Linked DNA regions of Nothobranchius furzeri. The protein of the gene in region 1 purifies or fractionates together with the protein of each later gene. This does not show direct contact. Links are inferred from orthologs where the notes say so. Each region holds a gene or a part of one and is shown in the gene's direction. Other genes may lie near its edges. The genes, in order: acad9 and timmdc1.

The links.
Region 2: the proteins of acad9 (region 1) and timmdc1 purify together in Homo sapiens (affinity purification with mass spectrometry; 3 studies listed by BioGRID and IntAct, counting the BioPlex papers as one, with this or other methods). This does not show direct contact. The link is inferred for Nothobranchius furzeri from reciprocal best matches to the Homo sapiens genes ACAD9 and TIMMDC1.

The regions. Positions count from the first base shown.
Region 1 is NC_091743.1:6,045,221-6,049,045, forward strand, and holds part of acad9 (complex I assembly factor ACAD9, mitochondrial), read left to right. Parts: intron 1-53; coding exon 54-173; intron 174-255; coding exon 256-384; intron 385-1,651; coding exon 1,652-1,731; intron 1,732-3,825. UniProt on the Homo sapiens protein: As part of the MCIA complex, primarily participates in the assembly of the mitochondrial complex I and therefore plays a role in oxidative phosphorylation.
Region 2 is NC_091754.1:55,555,929-55,559,853, reverse strand, and holds the start of timmdc1 (complex I assembly factor TIMMDC1, mitochondrial), read left to right. Parts: upstream 1-1,764; 5' UTR 1,765-1,905; intron 1,906-3,925. Other genes in the region: poglut1 (protein O-glucosyltransferase 1), read left to right, coding at 64-231, 308-364, 445-601.

The DNA.
Region 1 (3,825 bases):
TTCAGTGAATGGTTGTGTTAGAAATGTGTGAAGAGTTTGTTTTGATCCTGTAGGAGAAGTTTGCACTGATGGCCATTAATGCCTTTGTGATGGAAAGCATGGCATACCTGACAGCTGGGATGATGGACAGACCAGGAGTACCAGAGTGTTCCCTCGAGGCTGCCATGGTGAAGGTTAGATTGCTTTGATATTTTATCTTCATATGAAACTAGTGTGAGACAACTGTTCTTACAGTGTCTTGTCTGTCCTCTGCAGGTGTTCAGCTCCGAGGGAGGCTGGGTCTGCTGCAGTGAAGCTCTGCAGGTTCTGGGAGGGCTGGGTTATACCAAGAACTATCCATTTGAGCGCTACCTCAGGGACTGTCGCATCCTGCCCATCTTTGAGGTACTGGATAAACTAGTGAGATCCACATTGGAATGTTCTAGCAGCTAAAAGACATTTTTTTCTAATGTACTGGTGAAACTTAAATGTTTTCAACAGAAATTATATGGAAACTGAGTTGCAGCCACCACTCAGATTTTCTTTTGCACTTGTGCATGTGTCGTGCATAGGCGAGCCAGCGACGTGATCCCAGAATGAAGAAAAATGACAACTTTTCGTTGCTGTCGCTCGGACAAGGACCAATCAGTGAAGGTTTCATTGATTGACCAATGAGCAGACAGGATGCTTCCCAGTACATTGTCGAGCAAACGAGAAGGAAAAGTTCATACTTGCAGCATCATATCCCAGAGCATTAGAAAACTTCTACAAAAGAACATAGAGATCTTCACAAAAAAGGCAGCGGCATGGGGAATTGTTTTTGATTTAGCATCACTGGCAATGGGCACCTGCCAGTAACCTCGAGCGAGGTCCAGAGTTGTGAGAAACGGGGGTGGGGGGTGGGGGGGGGCTGCAATGCACATAAGACGCAAACTTACATTGTAAAGAAGGAACATGAGGGATTGTCGCCCATGATAACAGTTCTGGAGGGTACATGTGTTGTCAATGAATTGAGAGTCATAAAGTCCACGCCAACAATTAACTCACTCACTGCCAATGACGACTAAAGTCGTCATTTTAGATCCAACCGTTACTTTTAAACTTGAAATTTGCCCCCAAAGTCGCTGCCGGCTTCTGATCCGCCGTCCTTTTGAAAATACTGCGGTGTGTTATGGGTGATTTTTGACCAAGGCTAGGCTACAAGAAGACACCTCCCGTGTATCCTCGCTCAGCTAGCTAAACGGCTAACAAACGGAGAACACACCCCTCAGTAGAACATGAAAATTGGAACACGTGTTGGCGGCTCCCGATGACGTATCTCCTAGGCAACTGGGGCGGGGCCAAGATATCAAGGCAAGGCATTGAGAAACACCCAGGATAAAAGGTTGTTGCTGGATTATGACATCATTCCTTTGCAACCAACAAAGTCTTAAAGTGACACAAACCCATTATATCTGTTACACAGCGCCAGGGTAAAGCCAATAGAAGGAAAACACTGTACCCTTTAGCAGGACTATAACTTCAAAAGTTAGTCTGTGATAGTTTTTCTCAGTGAAGCACAACCTTTGAATGAAATTACCCCTAAAACTATCCTACCAAATGTGCTGATAAAAGTTTTGTTGAGCCCATCCTTGAGAGAAAAAATTGTTCTGAATGTATTGTTTGTGTCCAGGGAACCAATGAGATCCTGAGGATGTACATTGCTCTGACTGGAATGCAGCATGCTGGGAATGTCCTCACTAGGAAAGTAAAGTATGTGTCTATAAGGCCTTTTCCACTACTCATTGTGGCTTGACTTGGCTCGGCTCTATTCTGCACAGTTTGGGTGGTTTTCTTTTACAACTTTTCTAGTGGGAGAACTCGTTGTAGCGGGTTGGCACATTACAGTCACAGGGATATGTAGTGGTAGTTTTGTCAGATGCCAGCTGAAAAACTCTGGAGTAACAAGTCACTCTTGACGGTTTTAGGCAGAAAATCTAAATTCTTAAGATTAACTAAAACACAAAAATAATGACTACAAGTGTCTACAGCTCTATTAGACATTGACTTATTTATACAGTTTATCAGCAAAGAAAAGTTCATTTGGGGATGACTTACTCTTTCAAGGTCAACTGTACTCATGTTTAAATACACGTGCAGTGGTCTCTAGTAGGAATGAATGCCTTATAAGTTGTACTTTGGGGGGAAATAAGCTCAGATGTGCCTGTTTCAGGAACTAGAAGTAAGCCACCTCAGAGGTAAGCTTCAGACGGCATGATTTGGAGTCTTATAGGGAGCCTAAGTCACGCCTGTCTACTTCCGGAACATGGGTCACCAGAAGAATTAAAAATTATTGCTTATTTTCGAACAAGGGGAAACATTATTTTAGGTTTTCTGTGAAAATGCAACCAGGACTACAAATGCGCATCACCAATATGACGTCATCGAACCAGACACAAAGAAGGTCATTATACCATACCATACCAATTTTATTTATATAGCACATTTAAACACGGCATGAGAGCCGACCAAAGTGCTGAACAAAACACACAATAAAAACAATCAAAAATAAAAACTAAATCCATTAAAATCAAGTAATCCAACCCTAAAAGGAAAGGTAGAAAGGGAATAAGTTAGACAGAATTAAAAGCCAGAGAATAAAAGTGAGTTTTTAAACGAGACTTAAAAAGGGAAAGAGAGGAAGAGAGTCTGATCGGGAGGGGCAAGTGGTTCCAGAGCTTCGGTGCACAAACTGAAAAGGCGCGCTCCCCGCGGGACTTACAGCGAGAGCTAGGGACATGTAGGAGGTGTTGGTCAGCTGAGCGGAGAGATCTTGTAGGGACATATGGGTGAATGAGCTCAGACAAGTAGCCAGGTGCTAAGTTATTTAGGGATTTAAACACAAAAACCAGGATCTTAAACTCTATCCGGAGATGGATGGGGAGCCAATGGAGATTTGCTAAAACCGGAGTGATGTGTTCCCGCTGCCTGGTGCCAGTCAAGAAACGAGCTGCTGCGTTCTGCACAAGCTGAAGTCGAGCGAGAGTGGAGGAGGAGATACCGTACAGCACTGAGTTAGAGTAGTCGAGACGGGAAGCAATAAATGCATGGACAACTGAATGAAGATGACGCCTTTTTAAAATGGGCTTAACTTTAGAGAGACGCCTCAGGTGGTAATAACAGGTCTTAACTACCTGGTTGACATGAATGTCCATTATGGTTGTAAGTTCAGCGAAATTCAAACCCTGCTTTCGGGGAGAAATAACCATCATAAATCTGGTCATGTGGCAGCTACGCTAGGGGAGAGGAGATTTTGTGGTGACTTCATATATGCGACGTACCAACGATTGATTTGTAGACATGCTAATTATGAATTTTTACAAGCCGATAAATCTCAAAGTACGTGACTGGCGTGGTTGAAATACACATTACTTTTCATTTAAATTTAAGTACAACATATGTGCGATTCAGGGCTTAAGGGAAAGCAGATTTAAAAATAGCTCTTTTAGCCCCGTTGACTTGCATTCATGTTTTTGTTCTTCTGGAGACTCGTGAACTGACTGGAAAGAGAGGATCACCTCACCTCCGCCTGGACCAGTTTGGAAGTGTTCTCATTTAGATAGCCTTGGATTTTCCCGCACGCAACCGGATGTCTTTTCAGCCCTCTTCCTGAGGCAGTCTGCCTGGAGCTAAACTGGTCCAGCACGCATGCTGCTGACTGATTGTCTGGCTCAAAATCATGCGTAGCAATACGGGAGCCTCGGATTGGTAAATAGGATCAGTCTGCCGGGGCTTCCTGCATGTGCGATTCATTATCATTCTGGATGCATGGAGCTAGCGACCCTCTGACTGAAGCTGTTTTTCTCT
Region 2 (3,925 bases), on another chromosome or scaffold:
ACCCTTTGGTTGAGCCTAAAGGGAGGAGCTTAAACTCCGTGTGACCGTTTTTGTCTCCTGCAGGTATTTGTTTAACTTCCGCGGCGTGGCGGCGAGTTTCCGCCTCAAGCATCTCTTCCTCTGTGGCTCGCTGGTTTTCCACGTGGGAGACACGTGGCAGGAGTTCTTCTACCCTCAGCTGAAGCCCTGGGTGCACTACGTCCCCGTCCAACAGGACCTGTCCAATGTCAGGTACGTCAGCCACCTTCTTCTAACGTGTCTCTTTGTAGGGACGTGATTGAGAGTCTTCGTGTCCTCCTGTCCCCAGAGAGCTCCTGCAGTTCGTCAAAGAGAACGACGCCGTCGCTCAGGAGATCGCCGAAAGGTAACGGACGAGTGAACTGTGAGAGAAACACGTTTTCTAGACACGTCAAAACCGAGTTCTGTGTCTGTTCCTCCCCACAGAGGTAAGGACTTCATCCTTCGTCACCTGCGGATGGAGGACGTCTCCTGCTACTGGGAGAGACTCCTCACAGAGTTCAGCCGGCTTCTCGCCTACAAACCCAGCAGGAAGAGCAGCTACAAGCAGATCATCCAGAAACCCAACAGAGCCGAGCTGTGAGGGACTCGGCACCGTGTCCTCACCGATGCCAAAACCTAGATAGAGATAGTTTTAGGTGAGAAAAGACTTCAGATGCTGCTGTTTCTTCATTAGGGGGAGCTACCACATACTCAAAGAAAGGTGAACTAGACCAATGAGGCTGTCAGGGTGCATCATGGGAACTTCCTACATCACAGTATTGAGTTTTATTGTCATTTATTTACTATATTTGGTTGCTTATGTGAATAAATCAGTTTTTATGACCATTAAACCACAGAAATCTAATAAAGATGTCACACACCGCCTCCTACTGTACAACTGCAGCTGAATGTTTAGTCTGTTACAGAATAAGACTTTAGGATGTTCAAATGTTGACACAAAGTGCTAATAACGAGCAATAATTTTAGATCTATGTGTTTGTTTTTACTCTAGTTTCAAAGAAACTTGTGTCACTTAAGTTTACTGTATTAAATAAAGGAGTTGAGGGTAAAAGCAGGATTAAGTTGAATATGTTGTAGTATTCACGTTATCCTGTCAACCACGAGGTTCCCACTAGTTTTTTACAAATATTAGCCACATCTGTGTTCCTGATTTTGAACAAATAAAGCTGCGATCAAGTTTTAGTTTGATATCTGAAGTTTTCTTATTACAGTAAAACCATTAAACACGAATTCTGCAATGTGTTTTTATAATTAATATGGATTTACAATTTCACTGTTTACCCTTTACTCAGATTTTGTATCTATGCTTGTTTTTGTACATACTGTAGTTTTCCATGGTGTTTGGAGAATAAACATTGTAAAATTGCAGTCAACATTATTTTTTTAACTATTACGCTTGTTTACACAGTCTGCTCTACAATAAATAAAAATTACACAAATTTCTGCAATTAAGTTGCTTTACACAAGTAAATTTAAAAAGTATGGACACATTTTCACAACTGATGAAAAAGAAATTCCTAATTCATGTTTATGTGATAATACTACTAAATAAGTACCTCAAAGTTTCAATTCAAGAAATAGTTTATTTTTCTATCACAGTGGCAGAAATGGACTCAAAAGGCCCAAGCAAACGTTTTTACTTGGAAAATTTAGAACCATTTATCCTCCTGACCACCGGGGGCGCTAGCTCTCCAATGTTCGCGCAGCCGCAATGCGGTCAGATGTCATTAGCCGCTGCAGTCTGTTGGTCCTGGACAGAATGGACATGTAAAGGGCATGCATGATGATAAAAGTTTTGTCATTTATAAATAATATTTAACCGAACCGCTTTACTCAGTTAGACCGACACGTCACTGTTGACGAGTAACTGAACGCTCGTTGCTGGTAAGTAGCTGTTAGCCTAGCTAACATGCTAATTGTTGCTAACATCTGATAAGCTTAGCTTACTATAAACATACAGCTTACTATAAACATACTTGTTACTAAAAAAAATTCAAATAAAGAGCTATTTTGTGATTTTAAAATACACAGATACTCATTTAAACATATTTAGTGCTGCAGTTTTTACTGTTAACCTGCTAAAACCTGGACATTAGAGGCAGGTGTTCAACTTTAAAGGTTATTAAGTCTACTTTAAGGTGCGTCAGCCCTTTTGGTTTGATTTTTTTTGTAACCTTTTGTGTATAATTCCAATTTCATCTGCACAAATGCTGCTAATAGCAGTGTTTTCATTCACTTAGTCCAGCCTTAGGTATTATAGAATAAACAGGGTTCCCTTAAAGGCGATACAAATGTAAGAAATGTGTCTTGAATAACGGCTGTTTCAAGACTTGTTTTCTTATTTTTGTTCAAATAAACCTGTCATGTATGCTGCCGGGGAGAAGGCAGGAACATGCAGCAGTGTCTGACTCGGGTTCAGGGGCCTCAGGTAGACCTTGGCTCCTCTGCTGCCCCATCAGTGGGGGGGGGGTCCAGGAGGGGGAGGACCCAACCTTACCTGGATGTCCTATGTCATTTATAATGCGGAAGTTGTGCAAATGCATGGATGGGCGTAGATATTCTGCTGGGTTGGTGCCCTCGGACTCCGTGAGGCTCTGTGATGCTGCTGCTTTGGGCCCTGGCAGGATGGGCTGGTGTCTCCATGCCCTGGGTGGCATTTTGGCAGCAGAGGTGCCTATTGGGGCCAGTGGGGGAGCTGGCTTCCTGGAGGGCTAAGCCCAACCAGCCGTTCCTCCCCATCCCCACACATTTCTCTCCTCCTGCTCCCTCACATCATCACACAAACATGCACATAGGACCTTGGGGGGTGGTCAAGTCAGGGAGTGTGGGTATGGACCCCATTTCCGCATTCCTGTGGCAACCTGCCCCCCAATTTTATTTGCACCTTATACACTTCCACCAACGACGTTCCACGCAAACACACACTTAGGGCCTTGGGAGTGAGCACTAGTGGTGTGCATCTCTACCTGCCTCACGATTCGATCCGATTCCGATTATCTGCCTAAAGATTTGATCTGAGTCTGAAATGCATCACGATTCTTCATGCAAAAATTTTCTTTACTTAATAAAAGCAGTAGAATAGTTTTCAGTTTCTTTTTGATTTCGAAATCCCTGAAAAACATAACATTCATCTATTCACTATAGTGAGCAATAATGTTTAAAGTGTGCTGCCTATAATTACTTAAATAATATAAGAAATAATGTTTTCGGTAGAGCAGCTTTAAGATAGAATATTACTGAACTTAAAAATAGTAAACAAATACTGTATTAAGTGATTCTTTCACATCCAGGATCCCAAAACTGAAATTAGCCCAGCCATCTGATTTAAATGTAACGGGTACATCTTTGATTACTGGTAATATTGGCCCTGTATCCTTGTCCACCTTTTCTGTTTTAAATTGGAGCTAGAGCAACGCAGTGCGCATGTCATTGCAACTCTGCCCCCAGAAATAATTGTAAAACCTCCAAACTTTATTGTCCTGCATAGACATAGACCAGGGGTCGGCAACCTGTTCCCATCAAAGAGCCATTATTACCCGTTTCCCACAGTAAAGAAAACACTGGGAGCCACGGCGTTGTGGGCGGGGCCTACCCTCAGACAGCAGAGAGCTGCTCACAACAGGTGACAGCAGTCGGTGCCGGTCGCTCGTGTACGTCAAAGTTCTCTTACATAAGACGATAATCAATAAAACGATTTATATAAAGTGGATCCAGAAGTTGTAGCCCGTCTCTGCCTACAATATTTAGATATTTTTCACCCTGTTGGTGGTTTTACTGAGCAGGTGCCACTTTTGTCATACGTTTCTTTTTAAAACATGTTTAGACTGTTCAGAATACAAATCCAGGCTCTGTCACGTTTCATTGTTGTAATTAAACTTTGTAGGTGGGGAAGGTCAGAAAAGGA